Xenopus tropicalis: one gene and its partner. The protein of the gene in region 2 interacts with the protein of the main gene of each other region in a biochemical or structural test. Links are inferred from orthologs where the notes say so. Each region holds a gene or a part of one and is shown on either strand. Other genes may lie near its edges. The genes, in order: arih1 and ccne1.

Evidence for each region.
Region 1: of the proteins of ccne1 (region 2) and arih1, one has a biochemical effect on the other in vitro, tested with the Homo sapiens proteins (3 studies listed by BioGRID). The link is inferred for Xenopus tropicalis from reciprocal best matches to the Homo sapiens genes CCNE1 and ARIH1.

Annotation. Positions count from the first base shown.
Region 1 is NC_030679.2:92,188,785-92,192,110, reverse strand, and holds part of arih1 (E3 ubiquitin-protein ligase arih1), read right to left. Parts: intron 2,448-3,326; coding exon 2,390-2,447; intron 680-2,389; coding exon 419-679; intron 1-418. UniProt on the Homo sapiens protein: E3 ubiquitin-protein ligase, which catalyzes ubiquitination of target proteins together with ubiquitin-conjugating enzyme E2 UBE2L3.
Region 2 is NC_030680.2:71,333,165-71,337,762, reverse strand, and holds the start of ccne1 (G1/S-specific cyclin-E1), read left to right. Parts: upstream 1-1,508; 5' UTR 1,509-1,561; intron 1,562-1,772; 5' UTR 1,773-1,811; coding exon 1,812-1,825; intron 1,826-1,922; coding exon 1,923-2,010; intron 2,011-2,107; coding exon 2,108-2,176; intron 2,177-3,048; coding exon 3,049-3,200; intron 3,201-4,512; coding exon 4,513-4,598. Other genes in the region: uncharacterized protein LOC549154, read right to left, coding at 445-699. UniProt on the Homo sapiens protein: Essential for the control of the cell cycle at the G1/S (start) transition.

The DNA of each region.
Region 1 (3,326 bases), on a different chromosome or scaffold from region 2:
GTGCTGTGACCAGTTCCTGCGGGAGACTGAAGCAACACTCCCATGTCTCATTTGGCTCTGGCTTCAGACTGGAGAGCTTGTGTATGCAGCTGTCATATAATGGCAGTTTTAGGAGGTAAAATGCTTTCAAAATATATTTCTTTCACTTCACATTTTGAGGGAGGATGAATATTATAACTGAATATGAATTTTATATAAAATGTCTCCTTTAAATGCACAAGTTGCATATTTCGCAGCATGCTGATTACTAGGCACTCCTGGAAATAACCACTTCCATGTCACATGCATCTAATAAGGCACGCTGCTCTTGTGTACGCAACATTAGCTGATAAGGTAGAGACCTTCTATGGGTAGAGAGACTTCCAATATGAATTTACATGTAGCTTATTCATTCCTCTTGCAGTCACAATGAGCTTACCTCAAATATAATAGACTGGTTGTTCTTCTTGAGGTAGAAGGCAAAGACATATGTGTACATTAGTGTGGAGCGACACTGGCACAGCACATCAACTGCCTTTTTTAGGAACTGAACCTCGATCCATGACATGTTGTGTTGCTGCATCTCCTCCATCTTTTGCTTCACTTGAGCATACAACTTGTGCTCAAATCGCAGGCTTTGCATGTGATTCATGTAGCGGTTGCAGTAGAAAAGATATCTTTGTAATGCTGCGCGGGATCTCTATTTCAATAGAAAGTAAAAGACACGGGTTAACAAGTAACCAACCATGATGAATGATAATACAGAAAGATGCCAAGCACTTGCTGAAGAGTATCACAACAAGGCACAAGTTATTTTTTCTATACAGTGAATAAACAAATACAGGATATGTTATCCAGAAACCCATATTCAGAAATATCCAAATTATGGACAAGCCATCAACCATGGAATCCATGTTAAGCAAATACTTTAAAGTTTTTAAGATAATTTTCTCTCTCCTCTAATAATAATAGTTCAGTTCTTTCTTTGTAGTATAAACAGAACAACAGAATAGGGTTCTCCCTCAACTGATGTAAATCTAAAAACAAAAAAGTTTCTCTAGCAGATGATAAAAACAGAGGCAAAGTACTCAGAATGGTCTCTCCAGAGACACTTGAGAAAGGGCTCTGCCTGAAACATGTAGTGTGCTGACACTGCCATTAAATTCACTGCAGTTTTCAAATGCTGCCTGGAACTGTCTGATTCCTTTTTGCCTTTTGATCTTATGATATACTGTTGGGGTGGCTCACAGACACCCCAGGAATCCGCAGCTGTATACTTACTGATTATTTGTGCTGAACTATAACCCAAAAAAATGTTTTGTCTCTCCAGAGTAGCCAGTATTTACAGTTAGTATATAGGTTTTTCTATTTAAATAAATAGTAACCTTTAAATTAACTTTTAGTATGATGTAGACACTAATATGAGAATTTGCATTTTTTTATATTTTGTACATTTTTAATGATATTTTTTCTTCATCAGCTCTAAATTTTGGAATTTTAGCAGTTGTTTGCTGGTGTCCAATTTACCCTAACAACCAGACGGTATTTTGAAACACTGGAAGATGAACAGGAGAAGACCTAAACAAAAAATATAAGCAGCAAAACTGCAAGTCTTTTCACTGCCAGGGTCAGCAACTCCCAGCTAAAAGCTGGAGAGACTCAAAGAAAAAAATAATTAAAAACTATAAACAAAAAATAATGACAAAATGAAGGCAAATTCAAAAGTAAGCAACTTAACTTAAAGGTAAACTATCCCTTTCAAGGCCATGCAGTCAATAATATAATTTATACAACTGTATTCATTTGGAGATAGCACAAAGATTGTTTTTGTCAAGAAGCAACTGTAAAATGTGAATATAAGTACTGTATATACTCGATTATACTCGAGTTGGGTGCCATGGGTCCCTCCAGACTAGCACCCTCTGTCCTTTGTTTGCAAATTAGGCCACCTGCAACCAGACCCTCCAGTGCCTGGCCCACTCCCAGTCGCAATACTTATTCCCCTTTACGTGTCCTCCGGGACTGGGTCTGGTGCCAGTTTGCCAATGCGCAGTGAGCATGGGGTAGTACTCATATTGTTTTTGTTGACCCTCTTCTCCACTTACAGAGCTAACATATACCCCACTGAAGCCTCAATTTATGTAATTTACTGGTTTTTATTTTGATTATTGAAACTTAGCAGTAGCGGCTGCATTTCCCACCCTAGGCTTATACTCGAGTCAATAAGTTTTTCCAGTTTTCTTAGGTAAAATTAGGTACCTCGGCTTATATTCGGTTTTGGCTTATACTCGAGTATATACGGTATGCATCAAAATATCTGATGTATGTATTCTACATGTATAGTGGGCCTGCCAATCTCTACCAAAAAAAAAAGAGCAGCATTTCATTAGAAGATGGAAGCTCTACTCACCTCTTGAGCATCTCGAGCAGCCTTTGCATCATCCTCATTGTAACGGTTACAATTATACCTGTAAGAGAGCAATGTAAGATATGGGAATGCTTATAATGTCCAGAAATTACCTTGAGATGATCATAAACTTTGCATTAAACCTGTTGATATACACTAAATATGTTGGAATGTATATGGGGTCCTTAGGGCTCTGGCACACGGGGAGATTAGTCGCTCGCGACAAATCTCCCTGTTCGCGGGCGACTAATCTCCCCGTATGCCATCCCACTGGCGATTTACATTTTCGCCGGTGGGATGGGATTTCGGGGAGATTAGTCGCTCGCGAACAGGGAGATTTGTCACGGGCGACTTATCTCCCTGTGTGCCAGAGCCCTTAAACGTAAAATGTGTACTTTTTAAAAAGTTTAACAGGATGCCACAGTCAATATCCAAATCTAGTTTATATTTGTACAGAACCTTTCTTATCTGTATATTTGCATTTACAAAGTGGGGTGCTTCGCCTTTAAGTTAATTTTTAGTATGTTACAGAATGGCCAATTTTAAGTAGCTTTTCAACTGGTCTTAATTTTTTCATTTATTTTGTATAGTTTTTAAATTATTTGCCTTCTTTTTCTGACTCCCAGCTTTTAAATGGGAGTGACTGACCCCAGCAGGCAACATTTTATTGTTTCTTTTTATTGCTTATCTTTCTATTCAGACCCTCTCCTACTCATATTTCTGCATCTCATTTAAACCATTCCCTGGTTATTAAGATCATTTGGACCCTAGCAATCAGATAGCTGCTGAAATTCCAAATTAGAAAGATGCTTAACAAAAATGGAAATGTTAGAAAAAACACAAATAAAAAAAAAAACGAATACCAATAGCACTCTCTCTCCATCATTCTAAAAGTTAACATACCACCATGTACTCTACAGCAAGTGGCTTGTACTGTACA
Region 2 (4,598 bases):
CTGTAAAATGTAGTTTGTATACCCACATACCTTCCCCCGACTGCTAAACAACATATAATGCAGTGTATATAATACATAACAGATGCCCTTTCTAGATGGAATGAAAGGGAGAGGGTAACTGACAACAAGAACAATACTAAACTCCTGTAATGAAGCTGTCAGATAACAAAGGCACCTGGACATGCCACAGAATAACCTACAGAAAGAACCTCAGTTTAACTGAGCACACTAATAACATCACATGCGAGCATTATGTCGGACAGTGGACATCTAACAAACATGCATGACTTTAGAATGTCCTTATTAAAAGGCATCGCGATATTATTAGGGCAATAAATATAAGCGGCGTGTGGGATTCAGCAGAGGAATTGCGTAGAAGAGATATTCAAACACAGCTAGTCCGCTAAAGAAACCCATAACGTTTCAAAATAGAGGTTTTCTTACCAAAAGCCGGTCCCCCCAGTTCCCAGGAACCTCTTGTTTACATCCAGCTTCAGCAAACCACGTGGCTCTTCCGACTTCCGGATGCCCGCCCCTTAGTTCTTTCCACACGCCCCCAAACTTGCTTCTCCCCGCCCCCTCTTGCCGGTGTCTGCACTGCTTGTGTTTATAACCGGCCCGGGAGGTGGTGGGGAGGCCGGCTTTGGTCTGCATCTGTAACTTTTTACTTGGCCTCAGTTTGAGGGGAGACGAGGTCATTTCCAAGTGGCAGCCTGGGGGTGATGTTGGCGAAAGAGGGAAGCTAGCGCGCCTGCTGCAGTTTGAATGTGCCGCCGCTTGTCATATAAAGGCTGAACCCGCCAGCTCAGTGCGGCCATCCGGAGCCAGGAGCAGCTGCAGGCTCGGCGTGCACCCAGGCCCCCTCTCCCTGTTATCTCGCTGCACATTGTACAGACCCCCAAGCACAGCACAAAGTCGCCTTACAGCAACGAGCTGTATATTGCTAGTCCTATTTATTCCTTTTACCCAACAAGAACCTAATATATATCTATTTATGCACCTAACTTACGGCTAAGTTATTGCCAAAGTCTCCCCAATATCCTGCTATTCATCCCTCGCTGCTATATATTTATACTCTTGTCCCATACAGAACTTTTAGCCTTCGCCTCTTCCCATCTGCTTCTGTCCATCTTCGAGCATTTCGCCATTGGATCCAGTGTGTGGGTAAGTCTCTGACCTACTTACCGATGCACCTAAAGGCCCACAACGGACACGTCCATTTCACGCTTTTCCCGATTGCCCAACAAGATTCTGGGCAGGCAAAGTTTCAGGGGTTCAACTTTAAAGCAGCAGCCGGAGGGCTGCATGTTGGACATCCGTGCTTTACGGCTTTGCAAAAGTTCATAGCCTGTACAAAAGGGGTTAAATATTGTGTCTACGGAAGGTATTGTAATGAGGGATACTGTTGTGAGTGTATTAATCGACTATAATTGCTTCTTTTAAGACTTAGGGGGGGATGGAAGCACGTCTAGTCCCTTCCCCCCACTAAGTACAAGTTGTGCGGCCATCTTCTCAGCCTACTTTCACTTGGCTGTGACTGCTGCATGCACAAGATCTCGGGGTACGGGGTGACACTTTGTGGGTGCTGCTATACATTATCTACAGTAACAAGCAGGGAAGTCTCAGGCCTTGTTTTGCATCTCCACCCTCCCTTCCTCCACCTTCTTCCCGGCGCCAAAGCATTAGTGGGGGCAGGGGAACACATTACTAACATTTTCTCAATTAAATCCGGGTTTTGCCTTAAATTTAACCTTCACTTTCTTGAATTTCAGGGTAAGAAAGGTTAACCTTCATTCAAAAAAAGTCCTGAAATGCCCGTGATAAGGTAAGTGTACAAAGATGGCTAACCTACCAGCACATGTCAGAGAGGTGAAACTTTACATTCCCTGATATTATTATTTCTAATAATATTCTTTTTCTAGCAATCCTCCAGTTGAAAAAGGCACAAAGGGAGAGGAGAGGGCAAGCTGTTCTGTGCGCTCCAGAAAGAGAAAGGCAGATGTGGCTATTGTAAGTTCATACAAAGGGCCATGTGCAGTTTTGGACACTGTGTGTGTGACTAACTCTGCTCTGGCATTCTCAACTTGTTTCTTCTATTCCTTTTTAGTACTTGCAAGATCCAGATGAGACCTTGGATTGCTTGGAAATGACAAAGAAAAAACAATATCAAGACAGGGTAATTAACATAAGGGCCTTTACCACTTGCTGCTTTTCATATTATTCTCTCTCATAAATTTGTGTATCATCACTGTTGCTAACAAACTGATATTATTGCATAGGCCCCCTATTCAGTACTAATGAGGGAAGAAGTCATAGACATCTAGTTGTTTAGTACAACTGATAAAGATCAAGCTATGATTTCATCATTAAACTCTAGTTGGTGACTAAGTTGACTTATAATCTGTTTTATGTAAAAGCCATTTAAGAGTAAGATGCAGTAAAATCAAGCTTTTTGTTAATGTCACATTTAATACATACAGCCCTAAAGTCTAAACTTAGGCATTTATTAAATACACAATCAGCCCTAGAAGTTTCATAAGAGTTCAGGACATTTGAAGTCTTTTTTTTTTTTTTTTTTGCCAGGTTTTGGTTTCATACAGTTGCCTTGCTTTGCATAATAGATGTGCATGATTCTGCATTTTTTTTTTTTTTTTTATAAACTACATATTGCATTTTTTTTTTTTTTTAAACATAATTACAGCTTCTCGGTTTGTGGCTTTCACTACATAGGAAGAATTTAGAATTTGTCAGCTATTAAAGGGCATTAAATAATCTAAGGTGGTATCTTTCAATTTAAATGTATCTATAGTTTGTTTTTGTGTACCACTTCTTGGTAATTGTTGTTTAACCAAATAACCAGTGACTCTGATTTTTTAGCTTTGGAATACTTTTGTACTTTATTTGACAAATTTCATCTGAAAATGTAATTATATCCCAGTACATCAATAAAGAGTTATTTAAAAGACATGCATTACTGTTTATTTGTTGTGTTAATCATAATAGTCTGGTAGTTTTTCTGCCTTTATACACTTCTTGTTCTATCATTAGGGACCATGGAGCAATGAAATGATATGCAAAAGCCCCCACAAATTGATCCCTACACCTGAAAAAGAGGAACACGAACAAAACCCTACCAGCTACCCGCACTTTGCTTCTCTCCGGTTCAGTCCAGTCAGCGTTTCTCCTCTTCCACGTCTTGGGTACATGCCTTGTGTAACTTGACTGTTCCGTTGGTGGTGTTATAGCACAATTGAATCTGTAACACTTTACTTTTCAGACAGACATTTAGTACAAGGGCAGTTTGGCAATAGTAGTTGCGATCTACAATACAGTATAAGGAAGGACATTTACATGGCCCAGGTGTCTTTGCTAGTACTTATATTCACTATAAATAGTTTCCTGTGGCAGACATTTCTGTGATGCATTGATTCTGGTGTTGGTTTGCAGAATTATAAACTGTATTTTTACTACCCCTTATGAAACTAGAGCTAGCAAATATTTTGGGGCTGGTAGCATCAGTCGGCTATTGTTTATCCACGTACAACAGCTTTTTTTGTCAGAACCAAACCCATCCTTTGTCCCATAGCATTTACAGTTTTGGCTATTAGTGTCCCATAATAAGAATGCTGCAAGTTTTTCATTTAAAGAAATGACTGGCCTGTTCCTGTGTGATGCAAACAGCATTCATTACAGTGAATCTTATTACTGGAGAATAAAGAAGACCTTATCTATGTCACAGCAGGTATCAGACTTTTTCCAAGTAAAGATTCTGCATCATAGTTGCATGTAATATGACCTGGGGGCTTACTGTCCTTAGTCATCCAGTTGATACATGTGTTGGCCATTGGTTTTGTATTTTGAGAAATTGCCCTCTGATACGATTTGATCAGAACTGATCTCTGAAAACTAAAAGCCTGGCTGGCTGGCACCTGCTTGTTAAAGGCCAACAGCAGGAAGGGGTACGCTTTATCAAGCTTCTGTCAGTCAATATCATTTCTATAATGTTTATATGGAAGTTATTTTAAGCACTTGTAAACTTCCCTTAATGACTTGTGTGCTGTGAATACATTGTAAGGTGACTGTTTCTCATAAGAGACATGATAAAGGACCAGGAAAGGCCCTAAATGTATCTTAAAACCGTGCATATTCTTTCCATCAGTCTTGTGCACTTAGTCATTAATCTCACCAAAATGAGAAAAAAAAAATTACTTCTAAATTTATAATAATGGGGGTCTATTCATTTTAGGAATATTAACCTGGGATTTTGATCTCTTGAGACAAATCAGAATTTTTTTTCTGGTTTTAAATAAATTGCCTTTTATATTTAAAAAAAAAAAAATGGCAAGAAAAGTGGTTGGGGGGGGGGGGGGGGGGGGAGTTCATTGGCAATGGTCCAAGGATACAACTTTCTACATTATAACATGTTTTTTATGTCCTCTGCTTTTAATGACTGTTCTTAATCATACAATTCAGATGTTCTAGCTCTGTATTAAGTACAATCTTACTTTGCAGATGGGCGAATCAAGATGATGTCTGGAGAAACATGTTGAACAAAGACCGAACTTACCTGAGGGACAAGAATTTTTTTCAAAAACACC